4 linked regions of the Saccharomyces cerevisiae S288C genome follow. Changing the gene in region 3 together with the main gene of any one other region gives a genetic interaction. Each region holds a gene or a part of one and is shown on either strand. Other genes may lie near its edges.

Region 1 (5,207 bases), on a different chromosome or scaffold from region 3:
ATCCTGGGCCACGAACTTACTGAGCGAGGGTATTTTTACGAAAATTGCCAGAATCGAGCCACATTCTCTTGAAAAATTAAGATGTGTTTATTTGGCAGATAATGTGAAAGATGCTGAGGTTATTTCGACATTTCCTGAAAAAATTCCTCAGCTAAAAAAGACTAACCGAAGAATCACCCCAAGCACTGAACAATTGAATAAAATAAGAGCTCAATTAGGATCCCGTGTAGTCCTCGAGTTATATTGTCCCTACGCTATCATGGGACCTGTGGCACATACCAATTTTTATGACTATAGGGTTTTTGGAAAATCTGTGGACGATAACGTTGTATGTTATGGAACACTAAGTACAACATTAGAAGGAAAAATGGTAGAAACGGAAACAAACCCTCATTTGAACATAGAGAAGAAGCAGGGTATGTTATGTATTCGTGGTTTTAGCATAGGTAAACCAGTAGAGTCCGATCGTTTAGAGAAAGCTTTGCATTTAGCTGAAAGGTTTGGAGGAGGTGAAGGATGGATGCCTCTAGTTGGCGTTTTTGGACTATTTGGCCAAGACGGTTGCTTATACATCTATAATCAATGAGCATTATCTATCGCTTTATTATTTATTATTTATTATTATCATTATTATTATTATCATTATTATTATTACTACCAATACCTTCTATATCCCTGTGATCAGCTAAAATGATTCAAATAACTGTCATTTTAATCGTACATTTTATATTAGGCCTAATGTGCTGACGATCAGTCATATTTCAAATGGCCATCAACACAGTTCCAAAAGTCTGTGATATATTTTGTTTGTTCGTCACTTTCGTTATTAATTGTTCCCCTCACAGCCAAATATGTCCTATTGTCGACATCAATACTCCATTCACCTGGATTGGCACCTACTACACGACCGCCCACTTCTTTCAAAATACACCATCCAGCACACACGTCCCACGAATAGCAACCACCATCCCAATAACTATCAAGGTACCCCATAGCAATATATGCCATTGTCATTGCAGATGATCCTAAATTTCTGAATCCATGAACAAAACCGTAATCACATGATAGTAATTTTTCATATGTGGCCATTTTTGTCTGAAAATTCTTTCCCTCTCTAGCGGAACCTGGCTGTAATGCCACTACGGATTTATTTAGTATTAGAGAACCCATAGATTCCAATTTTGATTTATAGTCATAGTCCTTGTTGTTAACTCTCATCCCATTTCCTTTAGAAGCGGATACCAGAAGATTAATGTGAGGATTATATATAACGCCTACTACGGGCTCTTTGTTTACTGTGAGCCCAAGAGAGGTACAGCTAAATGGGAAATCATGAACAAAGTTTGTAGTCCCATCAATTGGATCAATAATAAAGGTAGGATCATCAGTAATCACGGTCTCCCCTTTCACATAACTTTCCTCTCCAATAAACTTGAAAGTTGGATATTGGGTTTTTACCGATTCCCAAATTAACTTTTCGACCTGTTTATCGATAGCAGTTACAATATCAACGCTCCTGGAGCCAGTCTTCAAGTCATAATCCTTTTGAGTGCCGGACTTGGATTTGATGATTGGTCCTACTTTTTCAGTAGCCAGTTCACAGAGGAATTTCTCGATAGAAGCTAGATCAATGGTCATGGTATATGTGTATATGCGTGTACCAGCTGTTGATTTCCTTATTCATCCAAAAAAAAGAAAACACTGGGGTTATTTAACAAGCAGTTAAATGTGAAGTAAGAGATAAAAGACCTATATTAATACCATTTTTGGAAAAGCAACGTGCGCAACAATGAAAGTCACTCGATGCATCCATTATTCAAAAAAAAGTTTTTTTTTTTTTTCCATACATCATCAGATGAAAAAATCTCGCTATGACGCACGCCAGTCAATATTCACTCAGTTCTTCCGAAAGGAAGCAGAAGAAAGTTCTCTATACTTGGAAATGTGTCAATGAAGATGTTATCAGATTCATTTTCTGCTAGCTACTATATTTCTACATAAGCAAGTAGTAATCTCTTTATTAATTACACGTGGTTTTGACTCATTGGCATATGTATATATTTGTGTTGTAGGTGCTCGTGAAAAAAAAAAGCTATTGATCATACTCATGCTCACGCAAGTAGGTAGCAACGATTTCACGATCTCTGCTCACCCATTGCGCCTTGGATCTAATAGTGTCTAAGGCTTGAGCCAGGGTTTGATCAAAACCTTTAGTGACCTTTCTACTATAGAACGCACTAATTTTTTCAAGGGCTTCAAAAGAGGTAAAATTAGTTAAACCCAATGTCAACACGCCACCCAACACAGGCGAGCCTGGCTGTAATCTCTTAGCAATTTCGTCCCAGTGTTCTTGCATCCAAGCCCATAACCTTTCAATACCCTTCTTATGAACTCTAATGCCTTGCATTGGGATGTAAAAATCTTGATTCAAAACTGTACCATCTAGCAGATAAGACAATGTCCTTTCTAAAAGTTCTTTGTCTTCAAATCTGCCCAAAGCTCTCAAAGCGATAATCTTTTCTTCTGACGAAACAGGGTTTTGATAGATGTTGAAAATCTTTTCGTAATTGTTTTCTCCGCCAAGTCTGGCAACGGTGTTGAAAACAACTGCCTTGAACAGTGCAGGTATGGCCTGTTTGTTCCCATTGGCGTATTCCTCAAACATTTCTACCGCAATCGATTGCATTTTTTCATTGCCAGAAGTGCATGCGGCACTGAAAAGGGTCACTTTTAAACGTTGGATAGCAAAGGAGTCGTCTTCGCCAATATTCCACCCCAATTCAGAAAGTTTGTTAAGTACTAGATCCAAAGTAAATTTATCTAGAGCATTCAATATATCCTCTGGTTCGAAGACCCAAGTAGATTTCAGAGCGGATAAACTATTAATGATTTGTTCCCAAACAACAAATGAATCCTCGTTTTTCCAATTAGAAATTAAATTCAAGAAGTTAGTAGTAGAGGTATAGCCAGATGCAGAAAGGGCTTTTGCATCTGCGACTAAGCCAACACGATCCTCTACGGATAATAAATTTGCCTGTTTGGATAGCTTAGCCCATCTTTCGTCAGAATAAGAGGTAATGAAAATACCAGATTGGTCACCATTAATCTTGAAGAACTCTTCATTCTTTAATTCGAAAGTAGCAGATTTTTCGTTCAATACCAATGTGTTATCGATACCTGTACTGTCTTTCAAAGCTAACAAAATGGGGTATATGGTTGTATCTTCCTCTTCTTTAACATCACCGGTACTTAAATAACGGTGTTGAGTTAATGTGATTTTGTTCTTGTGTTCCTTGACAGATAACACTGGAAAACCAACACGTTTTGTCCAGATGTTCATCACCGAACAAACGTCCTTGCCAGAGGCATCTGCTAAGGCGTCCCACAAATCTCCGGTCTTTGCATTACCGTATTTGAATTTATTCAGGTATTGGGACACACCTTTAATAAAAGTCTCTTCACCCAACCATTTGGAAATCATCCTCAATAAAGAAGATCCTTTAGAATAAGAAATAGCATCAAAAATTTGATTGATTTCGTCCGCATTATTAACGGGAACTTCAATTGGATGGGAAGATCTTAATGAATCTAAATTTAGAGCACGTTGTAAATTGTCAGTAACATATTGCTCCCAAACTTTCCATTCTGGTTGAAACTTGTTGCAAGAGTACCAAGACATCCAAGTGGCAAAACCTTCATTCAACCATAAGCCTTCCCACCAATCCATGGTGACCAAGTTGCCGAACCATTGGTGGGCTAGTTCATGCTGAATAACCTCAGCAACTCTTTGAATGCGATCTAAACTCGAATTTTCTATGTCTAATAACAAATCAATAACTCTATAAGTCACTAGCCCCCAGTTTTCCATAGCACCAGCAGAAAACTCATGAACTGCCACCATATCCATCTTTGGCAATGGATATTCTATGTTGAAGGTGTCCTCAAAGAATCTCAAGGTCCTAGCAGCTAAATTGGCTGCAAACTGACCAAATTTTTCGTCCCCTGGGGTAGAATAAACTCTTACTGGAATACGGAAATTATTGCTTTCCACGTATCTCAGGTCAGCTACAATAAATGCTACTAAGTACGTAGACATCTTTGGAGTCGTGTTAAAAGTTGTATATTTCTTACCCTCTTTGATTGTTTCATTCCTGACATCCATGTTGGACAAATGAGTCAGAAACGATTCAGAGACCAAAGTTACTGCAAAAGTCGCCTTCAAATTTGGTTCGTCAAAACAAGGAAAGGCTCTTCTAGCATCTGTGGCTTCCATCTGAGTAGTAGCCATGTACTTCGTCTCCCCTGTGACTTTATCCGTATACTTAGCCCTGTAAAATCCCGCCATCTGATCATTTAGAATACCGGAAAAGATAATTTCTAACTTCGCAGAAGGTCCTAGGTTTTCAAAAGTTCCATTAGGAAAGACAAGAGTAGCTTTTTGTTGGTTTTCGTTTTTGTTAACTTCAATGGCATTGACACCCTCAATACGTGCAGAATGGAAATCTATTTCTAAGTAATTTATTTGCACAGAGTTTATCGAATGATCATTAATCTGCAGGTCAATTTTTAATGACCCTTCAAACGTAAAAGCACGGAAATTAGGTTCTAGTGTAATGTCATAATGCAATGGGGTAACGTTGTTTGGCAGTACTTCACGGGACATGGTATTAGCTGAGAGGGCAATTTGGCTTGCTTGAACAGGAACCCTCAAAGAAAAATCACGAATTGAATAAGCTTCCCTGAAGATAATTCTAAATGATTAGCTAAGATTACTCATAAAGTCAAAAGTTTGATCGCTAACAAAAGGGAAAAAAACGGAAAAAAAATAAAAAAATGTGTCAAACTCCCACAGCCAAGTCCAAGAGTACGAAAAAAAACTTTCACAACGAGTTCAAAAAATGTGGGATGAAGACTCCCGTTTTTCACCGCCTAGAAAACAGCGTTTGCTGAGAAAAAAAATAAATCATCGAGAAGAAGTATGTCATCATAGGATGTTCCCATTGTAAGGTGATGTGTAACATACTCGAACAAAGAATGTATAGAGCTGAATATTTCTCCTTTAAATTTCAAAGAAAATGAGAAGGAAAATCTCAAACAGAAACTTCGTTCTTTTTCTCAAGTAAGCAAAAGCTTATTGAGACAAAGCGGAATAACTACGATATTAATAACGTTGATGAAGCTCGAACAAAGTTAGCGTCGGTTATGCT
Region 2 (6,208 bases), on a different chromosome or scaffold from region 3:
AACGACAGTTCTAGTGGTACTGTAACTAATGATAGGGTCAGCGGTGTCGGTAACGACCTTAGTGTAAACGTTATTACCGTTAGTAGCAGTAATAGTCTTAGTGGTCATTACACTCGACACAGCTGCTGCCGAGACGGCAGTCATAACTGTAGTAGCTCCGAAAATAGTTGAGAATTTCATTATTATTGTTTTGTGATGGCTTTATGATAGACTTTTTTACAAGGACCGTAAAATTCTGCCTGAAGCACGCACACATTCCTGTTTTATACATATATTGCTAGGTAATATAAAATGCTAATTATACTGCACCCAGTTAGATTCGTATACATCTTATCCGAACTCGATTACAAATTATACAAGTGATCCAATTGGGTGAACCTCGAAACAGTTCTCTGTTCAAGGGTCCGCTGCGGGGCGAGGGGGGGTGCATTTGAACTTAGGGTGCATTGTTTTAAATCCTATACAGGATATGAACTTAGTTAGTTCAATGATCGCTTGATAAATTGCACCCTGCTCTTGAGGGTCATTCTAAGTAATGAAATTTTGGGTGTTTTTGTTTGCCGTCCTCGTTCAATTCGCTTCCGCCGTTCTGGAAGCCCCGTTAACTTCCGTTCCCGCATTCCGATCGCTGTAGGGCTTGGCGTCAGTAGCACCCAGATATTTCACTGTAGGAGCTTACTTCACTCATTTCAATTGGTATACAGAAATCTATGAAATGTAGTTAAAGGCATCACTAATCCGCATCCGCGATACCCGCAACATATACGGAATGTCTATGTAAAAATGTCTCCTGTGACTTTCATTAATCGAATCTTTCTATAAAAAAAAAAATGAGCAAATCACAGTACACCCACTACTCGCATCATCAACGTTGAGTCAGTAGCAAAGTCTCCAGTTATGGTGCCCTCTGGTCCAATTGTAGTAAATTCGTTTGCACGGATGAAAAATAGCTCATGAATGTTCTTGTGTATTTGAATACCATTATGTGCGCGGCTCATACGGATTTAAGTGTGATCTTCCCCTCCGTATTCCCTGTCAATAACTCAAAGTTTTCCCATTTCGGTTTGAAGTTCTTCACAAGGGAGTTTCTTGGCGCAAAGGCATGATGATCGCATTTGCCTCAGTATATTTCGTCATTTCGGTACTGAGAAACGAAATTATTTTGCCTGTTGTCTTGCGTTTTGGCAACCCTTAAGAATTCATCTAATATGTTGGTCCTTAAAGATAAGCGCTTTTGCTTGTAAAATTCTGATTTTTTGTCTTGTGATGGTAATGCTACATTGAACATCAATGCGTATCTGATTTTAAAAAAAAAATTAGAAGTGTGTATAAAATGAAGGTATTATCAGTTGAGCAAATATTACATGTGCTCTTCAAAAGTACCTGCTTTTCATTTAGTGACTATCAGGATGATAACGCCGCTCGTCTTATTTTTAACTGTCGTTTTCTGATAAATGTGTTGAAAACGTGCTAAACAACAATTACCTGTTCTCAAGAGCCTTGAGCCTGGATTGAGAGCAAAAAATCTCTCTTTCATTTTATACAGAATTCGGAAAGAAGATGGATATTTCATGAAAATCTGTTGGTAAAAAGTGGATAAAAATTTTGTATTATTAGTATGTTCTTAGTGGTTAGGTGATAACGAAGCGAGAAAAGCAGGGCAAATGGAATAGAATAGCGTGTAGTTGTTAAAATTTTATTTCACTGAGGCTTATATGCTTACTGAGAAATTTTTTTTTTTTACAAAAAACTTCTTTTTATGTTATACCAGCTGTGGATTACCACAACAATTGGAAAGAACATCAATCCAGAAAAAAAATTCAGTTAATTTGGAGGAAGAGAAATTTAAGTCATGGAACAAGAGTGGGAGACAGTTAAAAAATGCTTCCAAAGATTAGTAGATTGAAAAAGTTTGTGAAAGTCGATCAATTGTCTTCATTGCAGCTAGACATAAATTATGTTTCAGGTCAAAACAATTAAATATATACTTGTGATAGGTAAAATAGTGAGGAAATAAATAAGGTAATTGATTACCAACTTTGGTATTCTTCAAAGTATTCGATTGCCTTTGCAGGCTTCTCTAGAACAAGATTTGCCGTTTGATCCCTTACTTCGTCAACGAAAACAGGAGGCCCACAACAAACCACAGCTAACGATCCATTTAGGTCACCAACTTCATGCAGAAGCTTTTCAACATTGGGTCTTCCATGATGAAAAACAGTACCATCAAATTCAACTGGATTAGGTGACTGTTCTAGGGTAGTTGCCATAACAACACCTTTTCCATCGGCCTTCTCGTCTTGTTGAGAAATTTCCAAACTATCATTAGGAGTTAATGCCGGAACTTCCATTGTATTGTAGATGTGAAGCTGTACATTAAGATCTTCTAGACACATCAGCTCCGGCTTGTAAGCCTCGAGTACGTTAAACCCTCTAACTGCAATCACTAATTTTATGAATTGTTTTCCAGTTGCCGCTGACGTTTTTCCAAGTTTAATGGCGTGTGCAATGGGCCCTGGCAAACCAGTACCTCCCGTAAGTAGCAAGACGTTATCATAATTATTGACTGGAGATGAAGAGCCATATGGACCTTCTATAGCTAGTCTCATAGATGCCTTACCTCCATTGCAACACACATACTTTTTGACAAGTTTTGTTACTCCCTTTTTTTCCTTCAGGATAATAGTCAGCTCACCATCTTTGATAATTGAATCTAAGACTGTGAAAGGATGTGACTGCCAAAAATACAGGTGGTGTAGGAATGAAACGAAAACATACTGTCCTGGTTTGGCTTTCCATAGCCTTACTGGTCGTTTGACTGTGACTCGAATGATGTCATCGCCAACTAACTGTAAGGAAGCCTTAGGGAAACCGAAATAAGATACTCTAACAATTCGAATTAGCCTATCAATAGTCCAGATAGCAATAGCAGCGTATATCCACTCAATCCCACTCAATTCTACGACGTGCTCCCAACACGTATAAAAGAACAATGCGCCAAGCACAATATGGAGAAATAAGAAGGCTTCATAGAAAAACTTTCTGAACATTGCCAAAGAAAAAAACACCATAACACCAACTATACAAAGAGCAGCTACTCCAAATTGCCAATATGTCTCTTCCTTGCTTGCTGCCCAATCTTTGTAGAATACGGAATAACTGGTATAAGCAGCGCCATGAATCACAGCATCTAAAAACATCATTCTTCCCAACCACTTATGAAACATTATGAAAGAGGTATATTTTACTCCAGAAATGAATTCTAGAAAATTGTTCCTTCCTGCGAAAAGAGCTATTAGGGGAAAATGTGCAAATGCCAGGACACCACTTCTATCTGCCACGTATCGAGCAATCTGTTCTCTACGAGAGTCGAAAATTAAGTTGTAAGGATCATATTGATACCCGTATGCCAGAAAAACTGTATGAAGCACGAGGTATCCAAGTATAATGACGCCTTCAGATCGTGTGGGAAGGAAGCCTGTAAAAATTTTAAGGTAAGAAAAGCTCGACGCATGTTTACCCCAGATAGTAGGTATTGTCAAATATCTTCTCACATATCTTACAAGTCTTTGTTTAAATAAGGCAGTTTTAAACGGAGTGTAACTTAGATAATGGAGTATGCTGGCAAGAATCATAACACCTACAAAATAGGCGCAAATAATACCACCATAAGTATGACCAATGTCGTAGTTGGCGTAGAAACCATGGTAAGAATAATAATAGTTTTCTCTCACTTGGGCATCCATCTCGATTGGATACGTAAGATTCGCGCTACCTTCAGAATACTGTATTATGTATGTTGTTCCATTATTCAGCATATTATAGAAATCTGCATTAGTCATATTCTGAAGGTTATCAGTGTAATATGCGCAGTCTTCTTTGATAGCAGCAAAGGTTTTTTCAAAGGTTCTATTGGAATAACCCTTTTCATTCAATGATTCGTAAATACAATACAACATTGACTGTAATGCCGGTTCATATGTACATGCTGGTGAGGAATATAAATCGTCACTACTATACTCCCAGGTTACTTCGCCGAGAACTCCCATGCAGGCATCTGTCAAAACCAGTGGTAACTTGCCGTACATTTTTGTCTTAGCAGGGGAGGCGCTTGCTCCTGACAAGCAGCATAACAAAATAGAACCACAAAGGAGGACCCAATACATTGTTTTCCTTGTGTCTTATAATTTTTGAATTGAGAACGTTCATCAGCAATTGAAGTTAATCATTCTCTTGCCACCTTATATAAGTTGCGACGAATCTTTTAATATAAACAATTGATCAAATTCTGTACATCTATGTCAAAGATGAAAGCTTCTGACAGCCAAAAAAAAGAGTCTTTCATCGCCAACGAATCAGTAGCTTTTGTTAGAATTAAGAAGTTTGGCTTTTCGCCAATTCTTTGAGATGAGGTACACCCACATTCCACGTAAAACTCAAATATCGGTCCAGGAAAATTCTCGAGTTCAATCACGTCACCAATAGTAATAATAATTGTGCTTCTCTTGACACTCGCAAGGGACTTATTCTTTACCATTCAAATTTTTCTCCTATTATACACCCGAAATAAAGGCAAAATGAGATATGGGTGCATTTTACAAAAGAGGTTGCAACTATCCCGTTCGCAGTGTAAACTATGATCTAGGGTCAACAAAGCGGTTAATTTGTCATAGTTCTTTGCAGCTTTTAATTCTCTGATATCTTTCCCTCAAAGTGTATTGTTTTCGTAACTTTAGATTTTATCTAAATGTTTCATTTCCGGCGCATTATTAGCAAAAGGGTGCTGTCTCCCTAGCTGCATTCCCAGACCGGAGGCACAGAATTCTGTAGTGATACTCTGTCATTACTTACTGCAGAAAAAGTTAAGTAGCCGCTCAGTACCTCTTAATTGAAATGAAAAATTTTCGTCGCTTATTTCCTGCTTTGTTTTTGAGTACGTTTCCAATCATTTTCTGGCGTACTTCGTGAAAGGGTAAAATTAAAATACTGAAAGCATTCATATGCTGATATAGTGCAGAAAAGCAATGAATGCTAACAACTTCCCGGATATCTGAGCAACTGGATTCGATCAGAAAAGGCACTTTTTACAGACGTACGTCAAAGCTTTTATCTTTTGGCTATCTTCGCCAACTCTATAAAAGGCTGTACTCCTATAATTAACTGATAAATAATTCCCGAATCATACTAGTATTTATTTTCTATGAGTTGTGCTAAACAACGACTTTTTGAAATGCAATATGCTGAAAAAATCACTTTTTAGTCGCAAAGTCAATTTTGGGTGATCGAGGGTTTTATCTTTTTATGCACATGTAATTCTTCCCAAGAAATAGGAATTTCTTCCCAGATGATATTTTCCAACACTGCTTCGTAGTTATAATAATCTTGCAATGCCAACCGTAAAATAGTAACGCATTTCTAGAAGAATTTCGCAATTCATTTTATATTTTTTAATCAAATGAGAAAAAAGTATAACGATTAAAAACTCTCTAACCATGTATTGGAAAAAGATGTTGCAACTTATGTAATATTCCTTGGCAGGGTTTCCGGGGCCTGTGCGCAACTTTAACGCCATTTTATGCAGGCCGAGCATTCTAAGCCTCAAAAAAAGTTGTATCTCCGAACCTGCCAATCTTTACTGTCGTACCAACCAAGGGTATGAAAAAAGCAAATAAGGCCTACAGCTTATTCAGCTTAGTATACTTCATCAGATTTATGATAAAATTTTTTTGCACTGATCCATCATTTTTTTATGGAACTGGTGGAGGAAGCTAGTTAAACCGCGAATTAAGTTAGGCGATGCGATGCGCCTACGTATTTTCAAAGTTTTACTGAAATTGGCTCAAAGCATAATTGTGATTGGAATGGGAAGCAATAAAAAAATGACTTTTGAAGTTTTCAGTTTGAATGACTTTCGATTAAATGTTTTTATTGATAATTGAGCGAAAGTGGTAGAAAGTATGTACTGGCTATTTTTCTTCCAAATATAGCCGAGACCGAACAAAATTTAAACAAAACAATTAATTAAATTATTCATTATTCATTATTCATATTAGAATATCAAGTTGTAAAAAGCTTGAAAGTCTTTTTTTTTAAAAAAAAAATAGACTGGACATGAGTCTTATAAATAAAGGGCAGTGAAAGAAGACTAGTGTATTAGAAGTGTATCCGCATGTGATATGACTATTTAAGTGTCACAACGGCATTCTTT
Region 3 (5,522 bases):
TAACTTATGTAAGGACAGAAGAGACTGATGGAAAACACGGCAAAAGGAGGTCGCAGGTTGTTGAGACGCATAAAGTCACTGATATATATTCTCATGAATACAAGGTAATTACAAGCTTGCAAGGTACCTACGAGGCGATTGAAATTACAGATGCTTATTGTTTTGCCAAAAATGATCTTTTTTTCAATAACTAAATATTACAAGAAAGTCTGATGAAATTTTTCTTTCCCGCAATATTTTTGTACAATTGTAATGTATAATATATCTCTGTACATCAGTATTAAAATACTTAAGAAAGCGAAAAAGACGCCTGTATTGTTTGTTGTTCTTTTTCTTCAAAATTATCAAGACGCTCGATTCAATTATCTTCGCTCATAGTAACTCGAAAGAGTGTAGGTGAATGAATAGAAAAAGAGAGCGCTGAGACCTTTGTCCTTTACGGTCTATAGAGGTGTGTTAAAAGCAGACTTTTGAACATCCACAGAAATTGGCTCAATGACCTATCCGAAAAGAATACCTATAAATGCGTGGTCTGAAGTTCATAGGGTGGCAAGGCCACTAATTATTACTTTCGACGCATATAATACACTATACGCCACAAAACTTCCCGTCATGGAACAATACTGCATTGTTGGGCGTAAATATGGTATCAAGGCGAATCCTTCGACTTTAACAAACAATTTTCCACACGTTTTTAAAAAACTGAAGGAAGACTATCCCCAATACGGAAAATATTCTGGTATCAAGCCCGAACAATGGTGGTCCATCTTGATTAGGAACGTCTTCGCACCAAACGAAATTCCCGATGAGATGATAAATGAAATATTAATGCGGTTTGAGGGCTTCGATTCGTATTTTGTTTATCCAGATTTGATCAAATTTTTAAAGGATTTGAAGTCAAGACATCCTGATGTTATCTTAGGAATAGTAAGCAATACTGATCCAATTTTTTACAAATTATTAAAGAATATCGGATTATTTGAGACATTTTCCGGTCACATTTATTTATCATATGAGCTTAATCTCGCCAAACCTGATAGAGCAATATTTCAATATGCGCTTGACGATATTATATCTAAACAACCTCATTTACTCGAAAAGTACACCAGGGAGGAAATTCTACAGCATTGCTTTCACATCGGAGATGAATTAAAGAACGATCTCGAAGGGGCAGAAGCTGCCGGTTGGACTGGTATACTGTTAGATAGAAATGATAAATACGGGTTTCTTTCAAACTCGATTAGTAAACCAATGCGGGACGAATACAAGCTGTCAATTGATAAAATAGATAATAATTCAATAAACACTTGGGAAGCCAATACTAAGCAAACTGACACGTTACAGTTGAGTGAAAGAAAGTACGTTGTTTCGAATCTTGAGGTTTTAGAGGAACTCTTTCCCTGAGCGCCTAACGTTACAGTAACAAATATGTATGATAGATATTATTCATATCCGCCAGTAATATTTACTATATCTTTGAATGGGTTTGTTTATTAATAATCTACTATGTGTAAATATATGATCCAAGTATTATACAGTTTAGACACTGATTGTTTTCCAGACGTTCAAACCGTCAGTACCGGTACTTACTAAACAACCTGGGATTTGCTTATGCCATTTGACATCTTTAACTTCCTTTTGCCAGTGAACAAACAATAATTGTGGTGGAATTTCTTGTAGCTCTTTTGTTTCGGCGGCCTGTTGTTTAATTTCCTCATCGTCAGCTTCTACAGACAAATCCCACAAAGTCACAGTATTATCTTCTGAGCCTACCGCAACGATAGACTCATCTAATGGGTTGAATGCAATGGAAGTAATGGCTCCCTTATGGAAGTCATATTGAGCAACCGGTTGGACGGCGTCAGCATTACTTGGCGTAAACTGTCTTAAATCCCATACTCCCCATGTACCGTTATCGTCACCGCTTGCTAGCAAGTAACCAATTTTATCACTCCAACTTATGACATTTACGTCAGTATTAGAAGCTTTAACAGAGATAGCAGGTTTATGTTTTTTTGATCTTGTGTCCCAAATCCTTATATATCCATCACATCCTGCGGTTGCAAAAACGGTGGATTCAGTGCGAGACCACTGGATATCTTCTATGGATTTATTGTTTGAAACAGTAAATGGTTGTTTATCAGTCACCCATCTCGATGTGTGCCTTTGGGTAAAATATATTTGTCCTGAGCAATCACCTGATAGTAACGCACCAGTCTTGATCAATGGTGACCAATCCAACCCGTAGCCTTCAACATTCCCATGATTTTTTACAGTGTGAATAGGACGCTTAGCAGACTTCGGAATCTGATAACCTGGTGTGGAAAAAGCTTTGCTTTGTGGAGCTAGATTGTATATATAAACATCACCATTTTCGCTCATTGTAGCGGTTAACACCTCTTGATTAGAAATGGCAAAAGGAGAAACCTTTAATCTATTGGTTGTATCTCTCAATGGTATATTTTCATTCTCAATGACTGGATCCACATCATCTTCATCATCCTCTTCATCATCTTCACCTTCATTATCGTCTTTCAAAAGTGTTTTCGCTAAATTAGAAAGTGCTAGAACCATTAGTTCATTCTCCTTTTTCCTGGAAGATTGAGTAGCCGTGGTCAACAAAATAGACTGTGGATAGTTTCTACGTTCAGAACCTAGTGTATCTGGAATGACATCTAATGTCAAGCATGGCCATGGCATATTGACATTATGTAGCATTTCATAAACAGTGGGATCAGCCTCAAGGACTTCATCTGGCCCTAATGGACGAGACATATGGGGTAAGTAAAGCTCCTGGATCTTTTCTTTGTTGCCTTCGGATTGGTCCTTTTGTACTAAAGTTTCAGCTTCTTCTTGCTTTTTCCTAAGGTCATCTTCGTCATTAATCTCATCATCGCCATCAATTTCAATAATTTCACCATCACTATCAAATTCATCACTCAATTGTTCTTCTAGGTCATTCTTGGGAGCATCTTGCTCTTCAGAGGCGGGAATAGCAGGAACAGAGTGAGATTCTGTTTTAGCAGAGACCACTCTATCTTGTTCCTCGTTGACCTCGATAGACCTTTTCGACATTATGGTGCTATTTCCGTGTATATGAAAACGGAGAGTAGGTGATATAACTATTTACCTACAAATTCAAACAACTACAATCCCTATAAGAAATGATCATCTCATCGCTAAATTCAGTTGGATTTTATTTTCTGTATTTTTCGCTGAAAGGAAAAAAATTTTCACGGCTCGAACGAAAAAAGAAACGTGATCACGATGTAAGTACAAATGGTACTCTATTTTGAAGCGTCTACGTTATGTAGATGATATCATACTTCCAGTTGCATATCGTCAGTAACCTCATCTTTAGACTGTTTGTTCTTCTTCTTTTGGTTTTTTTTCGCTACTTTCCTTAGCTTTTCTTCTTCAATAAGATTTGATCTATTCGACTCAATATAGTTTACAAAAAAATCACCATTTTTGGTCTTCTTTGCTTCGTTAAGTGTAGCTTCCACATTATTAAATAGTTCTACCCTTGTCTTGGCCAGTCTGTTTAGTATTTTGTTATCTCGTGCTCCGCATTCCATTTTTCTACATTGTCTTAGAGACTTAAATGATACTTCACCGGGATTCATATACCTGTTTTTTCTCAAGTTATGCCATGGTGTTATCAAGATGGTGCATTGTGGCATTTTGTTTCCTTGAATGGATTCTGATTTACATAGCTGCAGACAGTCACATATCACTTCTTGCGGTATGTCATCGATTGTTTTTTCATTTGGGCGTAACTTTAAATAAACATGACCACTTGAGTACTTATCCGCGTGAAACCAAACATAGTTTAACTCCCTATAGCTCCATTTGATAAGTAGATCGTTTTCAAACTTATCTTTGCCCATCACAATTTGGTAAGGTGTTGAATACTCAGTTGGTTTTGATTCATAGAAATACACCATTGTTATTGAAAAGTTGAATTTCAATTGAGCCTTATAATTCTATTCGCTTACTTTCTAAATTTTAAGTATAAGGCAGTCCTCTGGTCTACAGAGTTGTTTTGTTTTTTTATCCAAGTTCTTTGTTTCAATCTTATTGTAGTTTTTTTCCATTAAAATATTAAAGCCTAGGATAATCTATATCCTAAACTAAATATAAATTAAGAGTATAAAAGATGAAAGTAAATAGCATCTAGCATTCAGAAAAAATAAGAAGTCTCTTTTCAAATGATTGATCGAGCACAACGAATGTTTTCAAACCACTGTTAATTTTTTTATAGATGTAATGACTACTTATATGTTCTACGATGTGATTTTGTAGGAATAAAATAAAATTCAGTTTACCGTCTGCATATTCATAAACACTTAAATGACTGTTAAAGTATTCAGTATTTTAAATAATAATAACATAAATTATTAATACATACTTAAATACGAAGCCCATTTTGGTGGGTTCCTGAAAGAATATCAACTTTTTTTTACTAATAGAGAATTTCGTTACAAGGTGGGCGGCTAACTTATAAAAAGCAAAGGAGAAGGTTTTAACATATCGTCAAGTTAAGTTTGAAAGAGAGAACTAAAATAAAAAAAAAGAGAAAAATGTACGAGTACTGCTCAGTTGTAATAAAGAAATACTCCAAGTATACAATTCCCTCCTTCGCTCCAAATGGTTTTCAATCAATGCTTGAGCCTCCTCAGATAGACAAGTGGCAACACCTTTCCGCTAACTGCACTCTCCAATTTCGGGTTCTTCTAATGGACTCTAGACAAATTCTGATCAATGTGGTTCTCAATAATTCAACACTTCTCGAAAATATTCGCCTGCCGCTGGGGGATAATCAAGATTTAATACAATTTTCATGTAAAAGCCCCATAATCTCTTGTAAATATATCTCCGAAGAATTCGGACCCAGAATGTTAAGGAGGTTTCAGATGAATTTGCCAAATGACGTTGAGTTCAACAGGACTGTAGTTTCTTTAAAGAACCTTAATTTTGTTTTAAGGACAGCTAGGACATCAATAGCCCAGAGTACAATAACAAGCCAGGTGCAAGGCAATAATAACGGTACAAAGGTCTGTTTCACAGAAGGTCCAAAAGTTAGTAGCTACACAAATCCGAACACGCAATTTCAAACTCAAAACATGATTATGGATTTCAGTCAACGTTATCAGGAAGAATCTGAAAGAGAGTCAAATAATCGTTCAAATATAACTTTACCACACGACAGCATTCAAATAGCTCAACAAATATGGCCAAACACGGATTTAAATGTAGTACAATCTTCACAAGACCTCAACACTCCAATGGCTACGCAAACTGTTTTGGGTCGTCCTGAGTCGCTAATTGTACAGCCATTGGAGGTTTCTCAATCTCCACCAAACACTACCAACTGCCTTCCTAATGCAGAAAACAAAAAGAAAAAAGTCGACACCACTTCTGATTTTACTTCAAGAAAGGAGATTGCTCTGTGTAAAACTGGTTTATTAGAAACTATTCATATACCAAAGGAAAGGGAAAGTCAGATGCAAAGCGTCACT
Region 4 (4,821 bases), on a different chromosome or scaffold from region 3:
GCAATCGCCGAACATCAGATAAAATATGGTGGCACCCAATGACCAATAGTCAGCTTGGTATGTGTTATACAATGGAGCCGATGACCGATCGAAATTCTTCTTAAAACAAGAGTTACTAACGCGGCCAGAGAAAGTTTCTGGCGCCCTGTAATTATCGGTACCAATCTGGAAGTCGTTAGATTTAGGGGATTGGATAGCGTGACCCCAGTCTGCCAACTTGATGTCACCATTTATCGTTAGCAAAATATTTTCTGGTTTGATATCACGATGAGCAATACCCAAGCTGTGAGCAAAGCTGATTGCTGAGCACAGTTGTTTGATTATCTTTTGCATATCAATTTGAATCAAAGATGGAGACGACGGGCTACCTTGACTCTTAGCAATATCTAGAAAGTCATAAAGATCACCACATTCGCAGTATTCTAGCACCATGATGTAGTACGAGTCATCCGTGTAAAAGTCGAGCATCGAACAGATGTTGGGGTGAGGATTACAAGAACTCAAAATCTTCATTACATCATACTCGTTCTTCATGTTGGCTTCTGAAGTTTTGTATTTAGGAGTAATCTTTAAAGCGACGTAGCGGTTATGTGTAGTACTCCATGCTTTATAAACTGTGCTAAATGTTCCTGATTGTATAGATCTTAGTTTTGTATACATTTTTGCTTTTTATTATTCGGTATATGCTGATAATGATGTGCTTATTTAAATGATTGCGTATACGAGTGAGAATTTGATTCGGAGGGTATGAGAGTCGATCTTGAGTCCTATGTTATATGCTTTTTGTCAGTAACGGGTTATTTAATGCTAAGAATAGTTATTATAAAAGGGAAATTTTTTTGTATTAAGAATAGTCATCACTTACATGTGTATATTATATATATATATATATATGTATTGTACTCGTATTATTATTCTTTGGGGAAAGTATTAGTAGGTAGATGCAACTAAGCTCCGATTTTTCCAAAATTAAGTTGTCCCTTATTGCATGGTCCCCTTAATTATCCTTCCTTTATTGTATGTAACATGAAGCTGCATTTTTGTTCTCAGGCAGCATCATCGTTCCCTTCACCTAACCCTTCTAACTTCCTTTTACCTGTTGCAAGCTGTCTCATACCCGCGCTGAAAAGGCTGAGAACTGGGTATTGTCCCAATATTACGCTCGGCTTTTCTTTTCAAAAACTTTGTATTCCAGATACTTCCATGTGCAATTTCCCTAGTGCTCCCTGTACCAAGCCATCGGAGAGGAGATGCCTTCTAGAATTCAAAGCACGTAAGGGGTACAAAAATCGGAACGGGCCGAAGGCCGAAAAGAGACGGCCGTACGTGAGAGCACATGCAAAGTGGTGAACGGGACGTTACGGAGAATTACGGAACCTCTCAACAGAAGATGCGCCAATAGTCCTTCCGAACTAGCTCCACGGGAGGGGTATGAAGAGCAAGCTTGTTTACGCAGCCTCACCACCGCACCGAAAGACCCTCACGACAGAAATGGAGCGCCTTTAATGACGTTCGTCCGCTGCGGGCCAGAACAGCACAGTTTTGCTTCCCCGTTTCTTTTCCACTATTTCGTCACCCGCTCGAGGTGGCTCGCCCGCTCGGAGGCAAGCTGCACATTCATCGAACACGGAGAGGCACGGGCGAGAGAAAAAAAAGCCTATTGACCTAAACGGATGTCATAATGAAAAGAAGGAATCCGGTTTTCCTGGGCATGACTAAGGTAGCACGACTCAACTGGGCCAGATCGGTTGCTTCTTCCGATATACATGCATTAGATTAAGCCAAAGTAAAATCAAAAGAAAATTTAGCGGATATGAAAACCAATCTAATCTCCTCGTTTGCTTTCCGACCGCATGTAAGGTTCGGCTTTCTTGACTTCGGATATAGCTTAAAGTCGATTCTTGACGTCACTTCGCAATATCATTTCATTCCCATTAAACTGGCGTATGGACTTTGCGATCCTTTATTAATAGTTTATCCGGATCCCAGTTTTAGTTTGGCTCAAGCTGCAGGTGAAAAGAAAAAAGTCGTATTCCCTACGTATGAAGATGTTCCGAAACTACTGTTGACGTTTAAGCAGATTATGAATACGTATAGGAAGGGAAGTTTGGGACAGAGACAGAGACAGAGAGTGTACGGGCGAAATGGGAATGAATCACATTCTACGTAATTTGTCTTTGACTTTCTTAGAGATACGTATATAACTTTTTTTTCTGTGTGAAAAATAAATATTCTCTTATCCAATGTGGACAAGAGCCAAAAATACTCTGCTTTGTATATTTACTAGTTTTTTTGGCCTTTTTTTTCGCTAAACATATATATTAGTCTCGCTTAAATAATTGTGATGTTTGAAGGGAACGTGTCACGTGCTTCGTCGTTCATGCTTTGAATCCATCTAGGATACACTTACCAAAGGTAAAAATTGTTATACCGGTTACAATGCTCATGTGCAATGACATGTATGAGTGACATTTTACGCTTCTTTCGGATTCAGGTTTTAATGTTTTGGCGTTGTTCATCTTTGAGAATGGGCATGCAGCTTCCCCATCTTTGACTTCCGGGTGATGTTGGGGTAATTTTTCATCCTTTTGCTTTTCTAAATCATTTTGGTCACGTGTGCATTTTGGGGCTAGCTTGTGATTGAACAGTGATACTAAGTATAGGTAGGCTGCAGATAATGGGGCGACACCAAGTCCGCACAAAAGGTAGTTTGGTCTTTCTCCTGGTGCAGCTAGATAGTAGCTGAGTCCAAAGGCACCAGTAGCTAAACCACCTAAAACGGTGCTCCAGCATCCTAATGTGCACAAAACATTCTTCAAATGTTGAGTTAGAACATTTATTGGGGTGGTAATAGAAATCACGGTAGATGAAGTTAAAATACCGGCGTATAAACCTAATGATGAGACTGCGATACCTTTTACAATAGCTGGGGAGACTTGCATTTGTTTTTTAGTATATGTAAGGATTCTTATGAGTGTTTGTCTTAAACTTGCTTTTCGTGAGGTAAGGGTTAAAAAATCAGCTTGGATATAATTTGGAACAATAGAAACTTCTTTTCTCTCATTTATATACTGATCAACTCACAATTATATAACCTGGTTCTTTTTTTTTTTATTTTTCAACAACACAATAGATTCGAGTATGGGTAAACGAAGAGAATTACTTCGGCATTAAGCAAGGGAAATATCGCGCAACCGCGCACGTAATTATTTTTACTAAACGAACAGCAAATGCAGCAGAGCTAATGCGATGCATAAGATACTTGGATTCTAAGATCTGTTAACTTGAAAATGCTCTATATATCTGTCAAAGACACTATATTGTTGTATACTAGTATATATCTTTTAGTCAATTTCGATTACTTCCGGGCTTTTGGGAGCCTTGGACTTGGACGAATCATGGTCACTTTTCGTTTTTCTCTTATTGCTCTTCCTTAGTGAGATCCCTTGGCCTTGGAAATTTTGTTCACTGGATTTGCTACCAGCGGCACTTTCTTCGTCTTCTTTCGGTAGGACCATTGGGAAACCAAAGAATAATTGGCCTTCAGGCAGATCTAGCTTGGCGGGCTCGCCATCAAACGTTATCTTCATATCTTTTATATCTTGCTTGGGCTCCGCTTTCGGAGCTTTACCAGATATGTTTTGTCCCTGACCTACAAATTTAGATAGTTTGTTTCTGCTACTGTTAGCGATACCCGCATAGTCGATTCTTGTGGACATCGATCCCTGGCCAAGCACCGAGGGATCCAAAACTTGGCCCTTACCAAAAGAATTCTTTTTTTCTTTATCTTGCTGAGCTTTCAGCGCTTTGTAATCCGGTTCCACATATCCTACAGGTGGAGCAAAATCTGTTACTAAATCTGTTTCAATGACACATATACTCTTCGATGATGATTCTGGTTTGACTTCTAAGATCTTAATTTTGAAAGTTTTACCATTGTAACTAATCTCAATAACATCGTCCACGGTCAAAGTCGAGAAATTCCTCAGTACGTTTTCCAAAACTGCTTTGGGGTCGGAAATATCCAAGAAATCTACAGACTGAGGTTCTAACTTCACAAACTGGCCCAGAGGTACATCAGTAGATGAAATTTGCAGTAGAGATCCTGGCTGTATACCCAAAGTTTCCATCATCCATTGTGGTAAGTAAACTCTGCCCTCTTCAGCAATAAATTCTAAAACACCTCCATGTGTCACACGTCCAGTTTCATTGGCAGTTAGTTTAAAAAGCATGGGGTATCTTATGTTCAACATGGATAGTTTGCTTAGAGCACTTGGTGGCAGGAATATTTTCCCGCCGAAGTTTGCGTCATCCTTCCGTATTCTATCATTCATCATAGCTATAGGGTAGCATCTAAAGAACTCCTCAAACGTTTGAGGCATATTTACAAAACCATTTCCGCCGCCAAAAGAACTAAAGCCAGAAAACATTTTTATTATATTTTACAGTATCACTTTGATATTTTTTCCTCCCTTGCTATGGTATGTGTTACTATCTATTGAAAACTACATCATTATCTCTTCCCTATTCACATAGACCAGCCAGGATTACTTTTAACTACCTTTATTTTTCGCCACCTAACCCAAAAAAGGAATTCTTCTCTTTCGTAGAACGCAAGTTTGACTTTTTCGTCGTAAAGGCGAGTTTCCCAAAGTGGACACTTTTTTTTTTTAAGGCGCTTCGGCTAGAAATAGAAGAACGATAATAATGGCAGCGCACTGTGTATAATAACACCAGTCAACAATGAATCTGAAGCTAGAGAAAGAAACCCTCAAGTGTATCTGTGATGGCAGCAGGAAAATTGAAAAAGGAACAGCAAAA

What was found.
Region 1: mutations in RRB1 (region 3) and INM1 together harm fitness more than expected from each alone (negative genetic interaction), as found in Saccharomyces cerevisiae (one large-scale study listed by BioGRID).
Region 2: mutations in RRB1 (region 3) and FRE3 together harm fitness more than expected from each alone (negative genetic interaction), as found in Saccharomyces cerevisiae (one large-scale study listed by BioGRID).
Region 4: mutations in RRB1 (region 3) and SCM4 together harm fitness more than expected from each alone (negative genetic interaction), as found in Saccharomyces cerevisiae (one large-scale study listed by BioGRID).

What each region holds. Positions count from the first base shown.
Region 1 is NC_001140.6:196,648-201,854, forward strand, and holds INM1 (inositol monophosphate 1-phosphatase INM1), read right to left. Parts: upstream 1,639-5,207; coding exon 751-1,638; downstream 1-750. Other genes in the region: DDE1 (Dde1p), read left to right, coding at 1-586; AAP1 (arginine/alanine aminopeptidase), read right to left, coding at 2,093-4,663. UniProt on the Saccharomyces cerevisiae protein: Responsible for the provision of inositol required for synthesis of phosphatidylinositol and polyphosphoinositides.
Region 2 is NC_001147.6:1,053,503-1,059,710, reverse strand, and holds FRE3 (ferric-chelate reductase), read right to left. Parts: upstream 4,167-6,208; coding exon 2,031-4,166; downstream 1-2,030. Other genes in the region: FIT2 (Fit2p), read right to left, coding at 1-180; YOR381W-A (uncharacterized protein), read right to left, coding at 1,121-1,288. UniProt on the Saccharomyces cerevisiae protein: Siderophore-iron reductase responsible for reducing extracellular iron prior to import. Catalyzes the reductive uptake of Fe(3+) bound to di- and trihydroxamate siderophores.
Region 3 is NC_001145.3:531,624-537,145, forward strand, and holds RRB1 (ribosome biosynthesis protein RRB1), read right to left. Parts: upstream 3,076-5,522; coding exon 1,540-3,075; downstream 1-1,539. Other genes in the region: POM152 (Pom152p), read left to right, coding at 1-194; DPI35 (Dpi35p), read left to right, coding at 496-1,404; JLP2 (Jlp2p), read right to left, coding at 3,321-3,947; REC114 (Rec114p), read left to right, coding at 4,584-5,522.
Region 4 is NC_001139.9:589,435-594,255, reverse strand, and holds SCM4 (Scm4p), read right to left. Parts: upstream 2,943-4,821; coding exon 2,379-2,942; downstream 1-2,378. Other genes in the region: protein kinase FMP48, read right to left, coding at 1-660; YGR050C (uncharacterized protein), read left to right, coding at 1,814-2,170; polyubiquitin-binding protein UFD1, read right to left, coding at 3,345-4,430; transcription factor TFIIIC subunit TFC4, read left to right, coding at 4,787-4,821.